Linked DNA regions of Saccharomyces cerevisiae S288C. Changing the gene in region 2 together with the main gene of any one other region gives a genetic interaction. Each region holds a gene or a part of one and is shown on either strand. Other genes may lie near its edges.

The links. Genes that interact genetically often act in the same process or in processes that back each other up.
Region 1: of SLI1 (region 2) and ATF1, changing one suppresses a phenotype caused by changing the other (phenotypic suppression), as found in Saccharomyces cerevisiae (one study listed by BioGRID).

The regions. Positions count from the first base shown.
Region 1 is NC_001147.6:1,044,521-1,049,385, forward strand, and holds ATF1 (alcohol O-acetyltransferase), read left to right. Parts: upstream 1-1,705; coding exon 1,706-3,283; downstream 3,284-4,865. Other genes in the region: YOR376W-A (uncharacterized protein), read left to right, coding at 676-831. UniProt on the Saccharomyces cerevisiae protein: Major alcohol O-acetyltransferase that uses acetyl-CoA to synthesize acetate esters from various alcohols, producing ethyl acetate, isoamyl acetate, isobutyl acetate, butyl acetate, hexyl acetate, heptyl acetate and octyl acetate.
Region 2 is NC_001139.9:913,986-919,970, forward strand, and holds SLI1 (N-acetyltransferase), read left to right. Parts: upstream 1-3,054; coding exon 3,055-4,461; downstream 4,462-5,985. Other genes in the region: YGR210C (uncharacterized protein), read right to left, coding at 1-753; zinc finger-containing protein ZPR1, read left to right, coding at 1,256-2,716; RTA1 (Rta1p), read right to left, coding at 4,527-5,480. UniProt on the Saccharomyces cerevisiae protein: Confers resistance to the sphingolipid biosynthesis inhibitor drug myriocin (ISP-1). Inactivates ISP-1 by converting it into N-acetyl-myriocin. Cooperates with YPK1 in mediating resistance to myriocin.

The sequences.
Region 1 (4,865 bases), on a different chromosome or scaffold from region 2:
TTAGCTTACCTATTAAATACTCAAAGAAAATACGCTGTGTATGCTTTTGCGGCACATCTATGTCATTAAATCTCTCCATGGCGCGTATATTTTATGACGGGAAATCTGAGGCCGATCGAGGAGGGAAATTACTAGAAAAGCTTATCCTTCTTTACCTCCGAACAAATTTTAAAATATACCTCAATGGGAATAAAGAATGCAAGGAAAGGCAAGGTTCAGCCTATGATGATGAATATCGTACTCTAAAATTATAGATATCTAACTGTGGGCGTATTAAACCTTGCTTTGGTCATTATCCAATCGTGTATGCAGAGAGCGGGGCGATATGCAGCAAACAAAAGGGGCGAAATAATAGTTACTCCAAAGATGAAATGGCAGAAGAAAATGGAAAACTATACAGTTTGCGAAGGAGGCATCCTCTTAGTTAAAAAAAAATTTGGACTCATTGCACTGCAAACAGAGTTTCTAGGATTGTCATATTTTGTACCTCCTGGAATGTTAAGACTTTCTCATTAATAATGGTGTGATACACTTATAGTTGGGTGCTAAAAGGTAACTGCAAGCCCCACATCTATAATATTACCGTTAAGTTTCCGGCGAATAGTTTCTCTTTTCGCCCCTCTATTTCTCCCTTCAAATGTGAAGATAAGGAGGACAGCCATAAATATTCCTGTAATGACATTCCATCTTGGGTGGACAATTTTATGGTATAATCAAGCGTATTTAGAAGTTTGGGCGACAGTATTTCAAGACGAGATGCATAAGTATTCTCTTCATCCTCAATCCCGCGATGCTAAAACAAAGTTTTGTTGTTGCATTCCATTTAAGTAGAGCAAAAGCGTGGCAAATCTGAAAAATTGCCACATAGGGTGCTAAATTTGGTATAATGGCACAAATAAACAATCTCAGTTTACTGACAGTGAACTACAGGAATATACAATTTTGAGGTGTTAACGACCAACCGTTAATAGCTTATTCTCTCATATGTTATACCACTGTAGGAAGAGGTGGTTTCAACTGTATTTTGAGCACAGGTAGATATAAGCTCTGGACAGTTTTGCTACCCCTTGAAAGAATTCAACAGTATTTTCTGAGGTACTCATCGTAAAAGATTGCTAATTTTGGTCGCGATGTATATAGGTAAAGGAGTATTTCCTAAAAGTTGCCAAAGATTATCAAAATATTACCGTGTTTATAAAATAAACTGACACCCGGATAATTAAGAAGTGGTAAGCTTATGTTAGAGTACTTGTACTTGACAAGTAAAATCAGAATTGGGAATTATCAATTGAGATCACGTGCAAACCGAAGAAATGCAAAGAAGTAAGGTTAGGGTTTATGGACCCAGGCAGCAGAAAATTGTAGCTTCATTTGTTGGCACAGGACTATTCCACCCTTAGAATTGACTTTTTGGACATTGAGCTAAGGTTCAATGCACTCGATGGTCTTCTCACTTCCGAATATATAGATCTAGCGTGTGAGGACTACTCATTGGCTTGCGATTTACGGTTTTTATATTTTTTGCCGCACATCATTTTTTGGCCTGGTATTGTCATCGCGTTGAGCGGACTCTGAATATAATCCTATTGTTTTTTATGGATCTCTGGAAGCGTCTTTTTGAAGCCAACCCAACAAAAATTCGAGACAAGAAAATAAAAAACGGCACTTCATCAGTATCACAAATACCATCAATTTATCAGCTCTCATGAATGAAATCGATGAGAAAAATCAGGCCCCCGTGCAACAAGAATGCCTGAAAGAGATGATTCAGAATGGGCATGCTCGGCGTATGGGATCTGTTGAAGATCTGTATGTTGCTCTCAACAGACAAAACTTATATCGAAACTTCTGCACATATGGAGAATTGAGTGATTACTGTACTAGGGATCAGCTCACATTAGCTTTGAGGGAAATCTGCCTGAAAAATCCAACTCTTTTACATATTGTTCTACCAACAAGATGGCCAAATCATGAAAATTATTATCGCAGTTCCGAATACTATTCACGGCCACATCCAGTGCATGATTATATTTCAGTATTACAAGAATTGAAACTGAGTGGTGTGGTTCTCAATGAACAACCTGAGTACAGTGCAGTAATGAAGCAAATATTAGAAGAATTCAAAAATAGTAAGGGTTCCTATACTGCAAAAATTTTTAAACTTACTACCACTTTGACTATTCCTTACTTTGGACCAACAGGACCGAGTTGGCGGCTAATTTGTCTTCCAGAAGAGCACACAGAAAAGTGGAAAAAATTTATCTTTGTATCTAATCATTGCATGTCTGATGGTCGGTCTTCGATCCACTTTTTTCATGATTTAAGAGACGAATTAAATAATATTAAAACTCCACCAAAAAAATTAGATTACATTTTCAAGTACGAGGAGGATTACCAATTATTGAGGAAACTTCCAGAACCGATCGAAAAGGTGATAGACTTTAGACCACCGTACTTGTTTATTCCGAAGTCACTTCTTTCGGGTTTCATCTACAATCATTTGAGATTTTCTTCAAAAGGTGTCTGTATGAGAATGGATGATGTGGAAAAAACCGATGATGTTGTCACCGAGATCATCAATATTTCACCAACAGAATTTCAAGCGATTAAAGCAAATATTAAATCAAATATCCAAGGTAAGTGTACTATCACTCCGTTTTTACATGTTTGTTGGTTTGTATCTCTTCATAAATGGGGTAAATTTTTCAAACCATTGAACTTCGAATGGCTTACGGATATTTTTATCCCCGCAGATTGCCGCTCACAACTACCAGATGATGATGAAATGAGACAGATGTACAGATATGGCGCTAACGTTGGATTTATTGACTTCACCCCCTGGATAAGCGAATTTGACATGAATGATAACAAAGAAAATTTTTGGCCACTTATTGAGCACTACCATGAAGTAATTTCGGAAGCTTTAAGAAATAAAAAGCATCTCCATGGCTTAGGGTTCAATATACAAGGCTTCGTTCAAAAATATGTGAACATTGACAAGGTAATGTGCGATCGTGCCATCGGGAAAAGACGCGGAGGTACATTGTTAAGCAATGTAGGTCTGTTTAATCAGTTAGAGGAGCCCGATGCCAAATATTCTATATGCGATTTGGCATTTGGCCAATTTCAAGGATCCTGGCACCAAGCATTTTCCTTGGGTGTTTGTTCGACTAATGTAAAGGGGATGAATATTGTTGTTGCTTCAACAAAGAATGTTGTTGGTAGTCAAGAATCTCTCGAAGAGCTTTGCTCCATTTACAAAGCTCTCCTTTTAGGCCCTTAGATCTCACATGATGCTTGACTGATATTATTCGACAATATGATTATGTCGTGTAAATAACCCACTTTCATGTTGTCACTCCCTCGGCTTTGGTTGGTTAAAGGGACTTATCGGTTTCTTTTTTTAGAGTTGATTTAAGATCAGATCGAAGTAAATAACGTGCAGAACATTGCATATGATAGATAACAACCTATAGTATATATTTCAAAATCGCGACAAATCTGAAATATTAATTGATTTGATTAGCTGCAGAGATCTTCTCGATGTAAGGAGCTATTTAAATAGAAAGGGTCAGAATCGTCGTCCTGTGGGAGCTGGTATATACTAAATTGATGAACAACTAAAATAGCACTCTCATTGTCATTTTGGGTGTGAGACCTTAAGCAAGGAGAGATATTTTTAATGGATGTATTAGCGCAGCCGTTGCTTACGGTATTCCTTGGCATATTGTCCCTGAAAAAAAACCGTTGTACACTCGGATACGCATTTTTCGGACTTCTCCCACCCAAGAAACGCAACTTTTGAAGGGCGCCTACACCACTAGACCAACAAGGCCAATGCAAAGCTACAAACAAATGCGTGGGCGCATGGGCATAAGGAGGTGTAAAAAGCTTTTTTTTTTTATGTGAGGAATTACAGGCGGAAGATACTCAAATAAAGCACTGATTTGATGTTACCGAACTTTTCCCCAGGCATAAAATTTTATTTTCATATTTCATCAATTCGATATTATTGATATCGCACCTAATGTAGTCATTTCCTTTCTCTCTTTGCTAGTAGATTTTAAAAAGGTTTCTTGCTGTATTTTTTTATACTTTTATAGACGCCGCTTTCCAAAGTTCATCTAAAATAAGTCGCTACAATGATTTGATCTTGATTCGGTGCTTCAGGAGCCTGCTTGCTTCTTTGCAGCTTCGGCAATTTGGAACCTTGTGTGCATATCCTCGTTTGTAAGCCCAGAAGCACACAGACATCGATCACATCTATAATAGGAGCATGCTATCATAAAAGATTCACAGTATTCGTATAATTACATGGCAGACTTTTTGAAAAGAATGGTATGGAACCAAGTGAGCGCCTAGAAAAAAAGCTGAAAAGCTGAAATCTTAATTGGATAAGAAACTTCAATAACATTTTTCACGCGTTTCTTTTTCAACTAGATTAGCCTTAACAAACGACAATCATCGAGTACCCACGCTCATTACGCTGAACGTGCAAATGTAACGGGGTGGAAACCTAAAACGTTGAATGAACTAGCCAGAACGATGACAATTGCGGCAAGCTTTCCATACGTGTTCTGTTGTTGCGGCTTAGAGTGGTAGGTAACCGCGCCAAGCAAAATTACCTACCACTTTAAGCCCAAAAAGGTGATGTGTAGCTATTGCGGCTGTGGCGGCTATTGCGGTTGTCGCCACGCTTGTCGCCAGGGTTGTCGCTACGAATGTTTCAGCTTTTTTTTCAATGGGCCACTCTTTTCACGTGAAGCGCTCCACGAAATGTGCGGATATTGCGGAAGCTCTCAATGATGAGCTATCGGTAGGGATTAAAATAAACGAGATTTGGCAGCAGTTTTAAATACCAAGGG
Region 2 (5,985 bases):
AGCTTTGGTGTCAGGATACTTTAGCATGATTTTAGAAACATTTTTATCGGCGTCAGGGTGGTCAATCTTGTTGAGTGCCAACACAGTTGGAAATTTCTCCATCATAAAGGACTTGACCACTCGAGTGATCCATTCGTCATCCCATTTTTCCAAAGGTGGTAGTCCCTTCAACCTGTCCAGGGCTTTTTGGATCATGGGCGCATGTGAACCGTACCCACCGAATTGCGCTTGAAGTGTGTCCACTATGCTAGATTTCGTTGCTGTATGTTTACGCACAATAGACCCCCATCTTTTCTTCAGGTTCCCCTCAACCCAAAGCCTGATTTCGTCTTGCAGCCATTCTATATCGTTCAATGGATCATATCCTCTTGTGTTCTTCCCCTCTGCATCTGTGGTTCCACTAACGTCCACCACATGAATAAGAGCATCTGCGTGTCTTAAATCATCCAAGAATTTATTTCCAAGCCCTCTGCCGGAATGCGCTCCAGGCACAAGCCCTGCCACATCCAACAGTTTGATGGGGATATGCCTCTTACCCTTGCTACACCACCCGTAGTTAGGTTTACAAAGATCTTCCTTGCCAAATCTGGAGCAAGCACACTCAACTTGCAAGTAGCCGGTTGCCTGATTTGGCTCGATCGTGGTAAAGGGAAATGCTCCTACCGCCGCACCTGCGTCCGTCAAAGAATTTAATGTGGTGGATTTCCCTGAAGATGGCTTACCCACAATACCAATCAATGGATCCCTGGGCATACTGGCTCTATTTCCGTTTTATTCTTACAGACAGCTTATACTACAAGTTAGTTGGACAAAAGCTAAAAGACGGAAAACGAAAACGCAAAATGAAAATAAAACCAACTCTCATTACAATTCATCCTAGAACACTTACACATCTGTTTTGCACTGCATAGCATTACATTTCTTGCATATCTATCTATTCGAGAAAAAAAAAAAAAGGCATCGAGTGAATTTTTCACCTTGATAAAAAAGCCCTTACTAACCCTACAATAAATTGTGCCGAAACCCTCTGGAGTTTTCTAGAATATTCTAGCCCCATCAGGGCTAGAATATCCTAAAAGTTTATAGTTGACGAAAATTTTTCAGCGATGAGATGCACATTTATAATGCTATGATGTTCAACGCAAAGGAAATCATAGCGTTATCGGGTAGGTTCGCATCGTTAGCAATAGCTAGTCGCATATATACACAGAGATACATATTATACCTATACCGTTAAGAAATAGGATAGAAAATAATGAGCGAACAAAAGGAAGATTTGTTTAAACCAGTAGGAGAAGCTGCTGCAGAGGTCGAAGATGAAAGCATAGCCGAACAGAACAAAGCTAATGACGGCGTCAAGTTAACCGGCGCACAGGACGCCATGGGCCATCCAGTGCAAGAGATAGAGTCTCTTTGTATGAATTGTGGAAAGAACGGTACAACCAGACTTCTTCTGACTTCCATCCCTTATTTCAGAGAAATAATTATTATGTCATTCGACTGTCCTCACTGTGGGTTTAAGAACTGTGAGATCCAACCCGCTTCTCAAATTCAAGAGAAGGGCTCTCGTTACGTTTTGAAAGTGGAGTGCCGTGAAGATTTTAACAGGCAAGTTATTAAGTCAGAAACTGCCACTTGTAAGTTTGTCGAGCTAGACATTGAGATTCCTGCTAAGAGAGGTCAATTGACGACAGTTGAAGGTTTGTTATCCGAGATGATCGACGATCTGTCGCAAGACCAGGAAATGAGAAAATCTATAGACGAAGCTCTTTACAAGAAGATCGATGACTTCATACAGAAAGTTAAATCCTACATCAATTGTGAACCCAACACTATTCCGATTACATTTATTTTGGATGATCCTGCGGGAAATTCCTGGATCGAATACAAACCCGGTGAACCTCAACACAAATGGTCTCATACCCAGTACGTGAGAACCGACGAACAAAACGTTCAAGTTGGCATTATTACTAGAGACCAGTTGGAGCAACGTCGCCAAGAACAATTAAAACAATTGGCCAACCGTGAAAGAAATCCTTCTGAATCTGTCAAAGTTGGCTCAGCAAACCCACAGTTTTTGTCAGACGCCACCGACATCGAAAACTTTAACAACGAGGTGCAAACATTCAGAGCTTCTTGTCCATCGTGTACCCAAGAGTGTGAAACTCATATGAAGCCAGTAAATATCCCACACTTTAAAGAAGTCATTATCATGTCGACGGTCTGCGATCATTGTGGTTATAAGTCTAATGAGGTGAAGACCGGTGGTGCCATCCCTGACAAAGGAAGAAGGATTACTTTATACTGTGACGATGCAGCTGACTTGTCCCGTGATATTTTGAAATCTGAGACCTGTAGTATGGTAATTCCTGAATTACATCTTGATATTCAAGAAGGTACATTGGGTGGTAGATTCACCACTTTGGAAGGTTTACTAAGACAAGTCTACGAAGAACTAGAATCCCGTATTTTCACTCAAACTTCGGATTCCATGGACGAAGCAACGAAAGCCCGCTGGGTAGAATTTTTTGCCAAGCTAAAGGAGGCCATCGCTGGGAAAGTCAAGTTCACAGTCATTATGGAAGATCCATTGGCCGGGTCGTACATACAAAATGTCTACGCCCCAGATCCGGATCCAAACATGACTATCGAAGATTATGAAAGAACTAAAGAGCAAAATGAAGACCTGGGATTGTCCGATATCAAGGTTGAGTAACGATCGTTGGCCTCGGTATCACCTCCCCCTTTCCTCTTCCTCTTTACATATATCCTAACCACACAAGCACTCATTTGATATGATAATACTTATTCGTTTTTATTCAAATAGATAGCGCAGTCTTGAAGATTTACCTATATTTTTAAACTTTTGTATAATAGTTGAAATAGATAATACAGCATTTTTTGGCTCCTGCTTCATATCTTTTTTTTTAGGTTTTTGCTTTATATTCTTTCTTTTAACTCAACTTGTGCGGAGCAGAGGTAAAGAGGACAACTATAAATGCTGTCAAAACGAACAATCTACAGATATTTTTACGAAAAGGAAAAAGCGCAAGAATGAATCTTAAACTTTCTGCTATTGAAAGTTACTTTTTCCATAGAAGCAGACTAAATTTGCATTCATGTTTTTATGTCGGAATCAAACTCAACGAATTGCCCAAAAAAAGTCAACTGATAGCGGCTCTTAAGTATACTGTAATCCAACATGAACGTTTGACTTGTAATGTATTCTATGATGAATTGAAAAAGGAAAACTTCCTACAAAACATTCTTGAGCCACTGAAATTTTGCGATCTAGTAGAATACCGCCACGATTGGGACCAGTTAGGGGAAACCGAAATTAACCACATCTTTCAAAGGTATAACTTTTCATACAACGAGAATAAACCTTTATGGAAAATTCTGATCCTCCCTAATCAAAATCAAATGCTATTGCTGACAGATCATGTTCTCATGGATGGGATGTCCGCTATTCATGTGTGGGAAACGTTTATGGAAGGCCTACAGATGCAACAGCCGGTTGAAATTGATGAAACAATATATTCACCATCATTAAATTCATCAACTGAAAAAATAATGTCAGCCCCACTATACGGAGATTGGCCCATACCTTGGAATTGGCATATAGTGCGACAATTGGTCAGTAGACTACATTATTGGTTTCCACAAACAGTCGTAAAAAACAATAGAAATTTAATCCAATTTGCCAACTACTCATTTCCAAAAGACCTGCTGGATGATAAACCGAGCGATGGAACTCAAAAATACAAAGTTAAAAACACGAACCATCAATGGGAGTTTCGATTATCGCCGACCCATCTCAACGACATTTTACAAGAATGCAAGGCCAATAATACTTCGTTGACTTCCCTTTTAGGTGCCCTGGTCTGCACCAGTTTCGAAAAAATAGCTGCACATGAGTATACCGGATCATTTTTGAAAATTGAATTACCAATGAATATTAGAAAGCCTTTTGAACGAGTCTTGAAATTACCTTCAGATGATAAGCTCGCCGTGGGAAATTTTATTGCGGTCATAGAATTCAACCATAAACTACATCAAAACCGTGGAATATGGGATATCGCTTCTCAAATTCAAAGGGCCATAAGAAGCAGTTCCGAGGATAAAATAATAGATAAAGTAAACGAAGTAAAGTTATTGGAGGTTATTTCTTCTCAACAATACATAGAAGATAAAATTAGCTTGAATAACGGACCTTCTTCCACATTTGAAGTAACAAACTTAGGATTTCAAACATTTAAAGATGCATGCAACACCAGTTTACCGTTTTATATAGTGGATGCTACATTCAACGAGCCGCAAGGAATATCTTCAATTTTCTCACTAAGCGTAATCTCTACTCCTGGTAACGGACTACATTGTTGTATCAGTTATCCAAATACTCTCACTAAAGTGCTAGAACCCCACTGGCAATATATGAAAGATTACTTAAATTTATACTAGCAGCACTTCACTAGCTCAAATACAGAATAAAACCACATTTCCCACATGTAAATATAGAAAGCAGTTTATTCGCTCTTTGAAGCGAGATCTTCTTCGATAGACGTCACCTCAACGTCAGGATAGTCGGTGCCGTCAAATCTTGCTGATTGTTGCGCTTGAATAGACTCTTCATGTATTCTAAAAATGTTAATTAGTGGGAACGCCACAATAAAAATTAATACGAGTAAAAACATTGGTAAACCATCAAAAATATAAAGATACCACTCGTGCGAGGCAATTTCTCCGTCATAACCCTGAATAAATTCAACAGCTCTGACGATCGACCTAATTAAAATCAGGAAACTGTTCACCAATAAAGCAATGTTTAGGTATTTCCAACTACCATACCTTACCGATACATTGGTTGGTTTTTTGCTCATCTTGAAAATGAACAAAACCTCATTTATAATGAAGAGACCAAAAAAAGCAATTTGAATGAACAAACCAGCTGTAACGAGATGAGAACCAGAAGATGCACTTGTCACTTTAGACATCATAGCACCACCAATTGCTTGTAATAGAAGACTGCCTACATCGCCAATCACAAATATTGTAGTATTGAATCTAGCGGGCATGATCATTAAGTTTTCTGCGAACAGCAGAGTAGCCATTCTACCAAAAATCATGTAAATACTGGCAGCATATAATGTTGGAGACACCAGCAAGAAAACCGTTTGAATAATATAGGGGTTTAGTAGTGTGGTGTCTTTGCTTGATTTACATCTAAACGCAAAGCCCACACACTCAACAAAACACCCAAATATAAAGGGAATGTACGCTCCTGCTAAGTTTACCGTACCGTAATACCGCAATACGGGTTGGGACTTCATAAGAGAGCCAACTCTCCTTTTACTTTTCACAGAATAATGGAATAGTAAAATTACAAATGCTACCCCTGATACTGCAAAAAGTACCGTAAAAAGTATACTCGCACCTAATTCCGGAGTGTATCTATATAACTCGAAGCCGTCTTTTGCCATGTTCGAAGTGGTGAAAAGTGCTGACTGTCTATTACATACTTTTACAGGGTTTATTATTATAGAATGAAACAGGCAAGGTATCTTATCCCTTTATTATGAAAACTATATATACGCATAAGTCTTTTGCTGCATGATAAGCCCCTTCCCAAGAATATGACAACCTCTTATTGTTCTTTTCACCAAAGATCCACGGAACTCATCTTTAGCAAGTGAGGCTTGAAATATCACAGATATCATTGTGAATACCGCATTGAGCAGATTGTTGACAGCGGGCATCTTACTAACAGGCGCAATCTAAAGAAGCCGCGAAAAAAAAAAGAACACGCTAAACGATTCACCCATGCCAGCCAAGTGTAGATTTGTTTGTAGAGGAAAACAGTTGATGAGCAATTTACAGTGTTTTTTTATCTTAGTAATATTCATCAAAATTCATAGGAAATAGTCAATGATGCATGTCTGAAAACAAAACGACCTATATACCTTATTGTGGCTTGTAAAGTTTAAA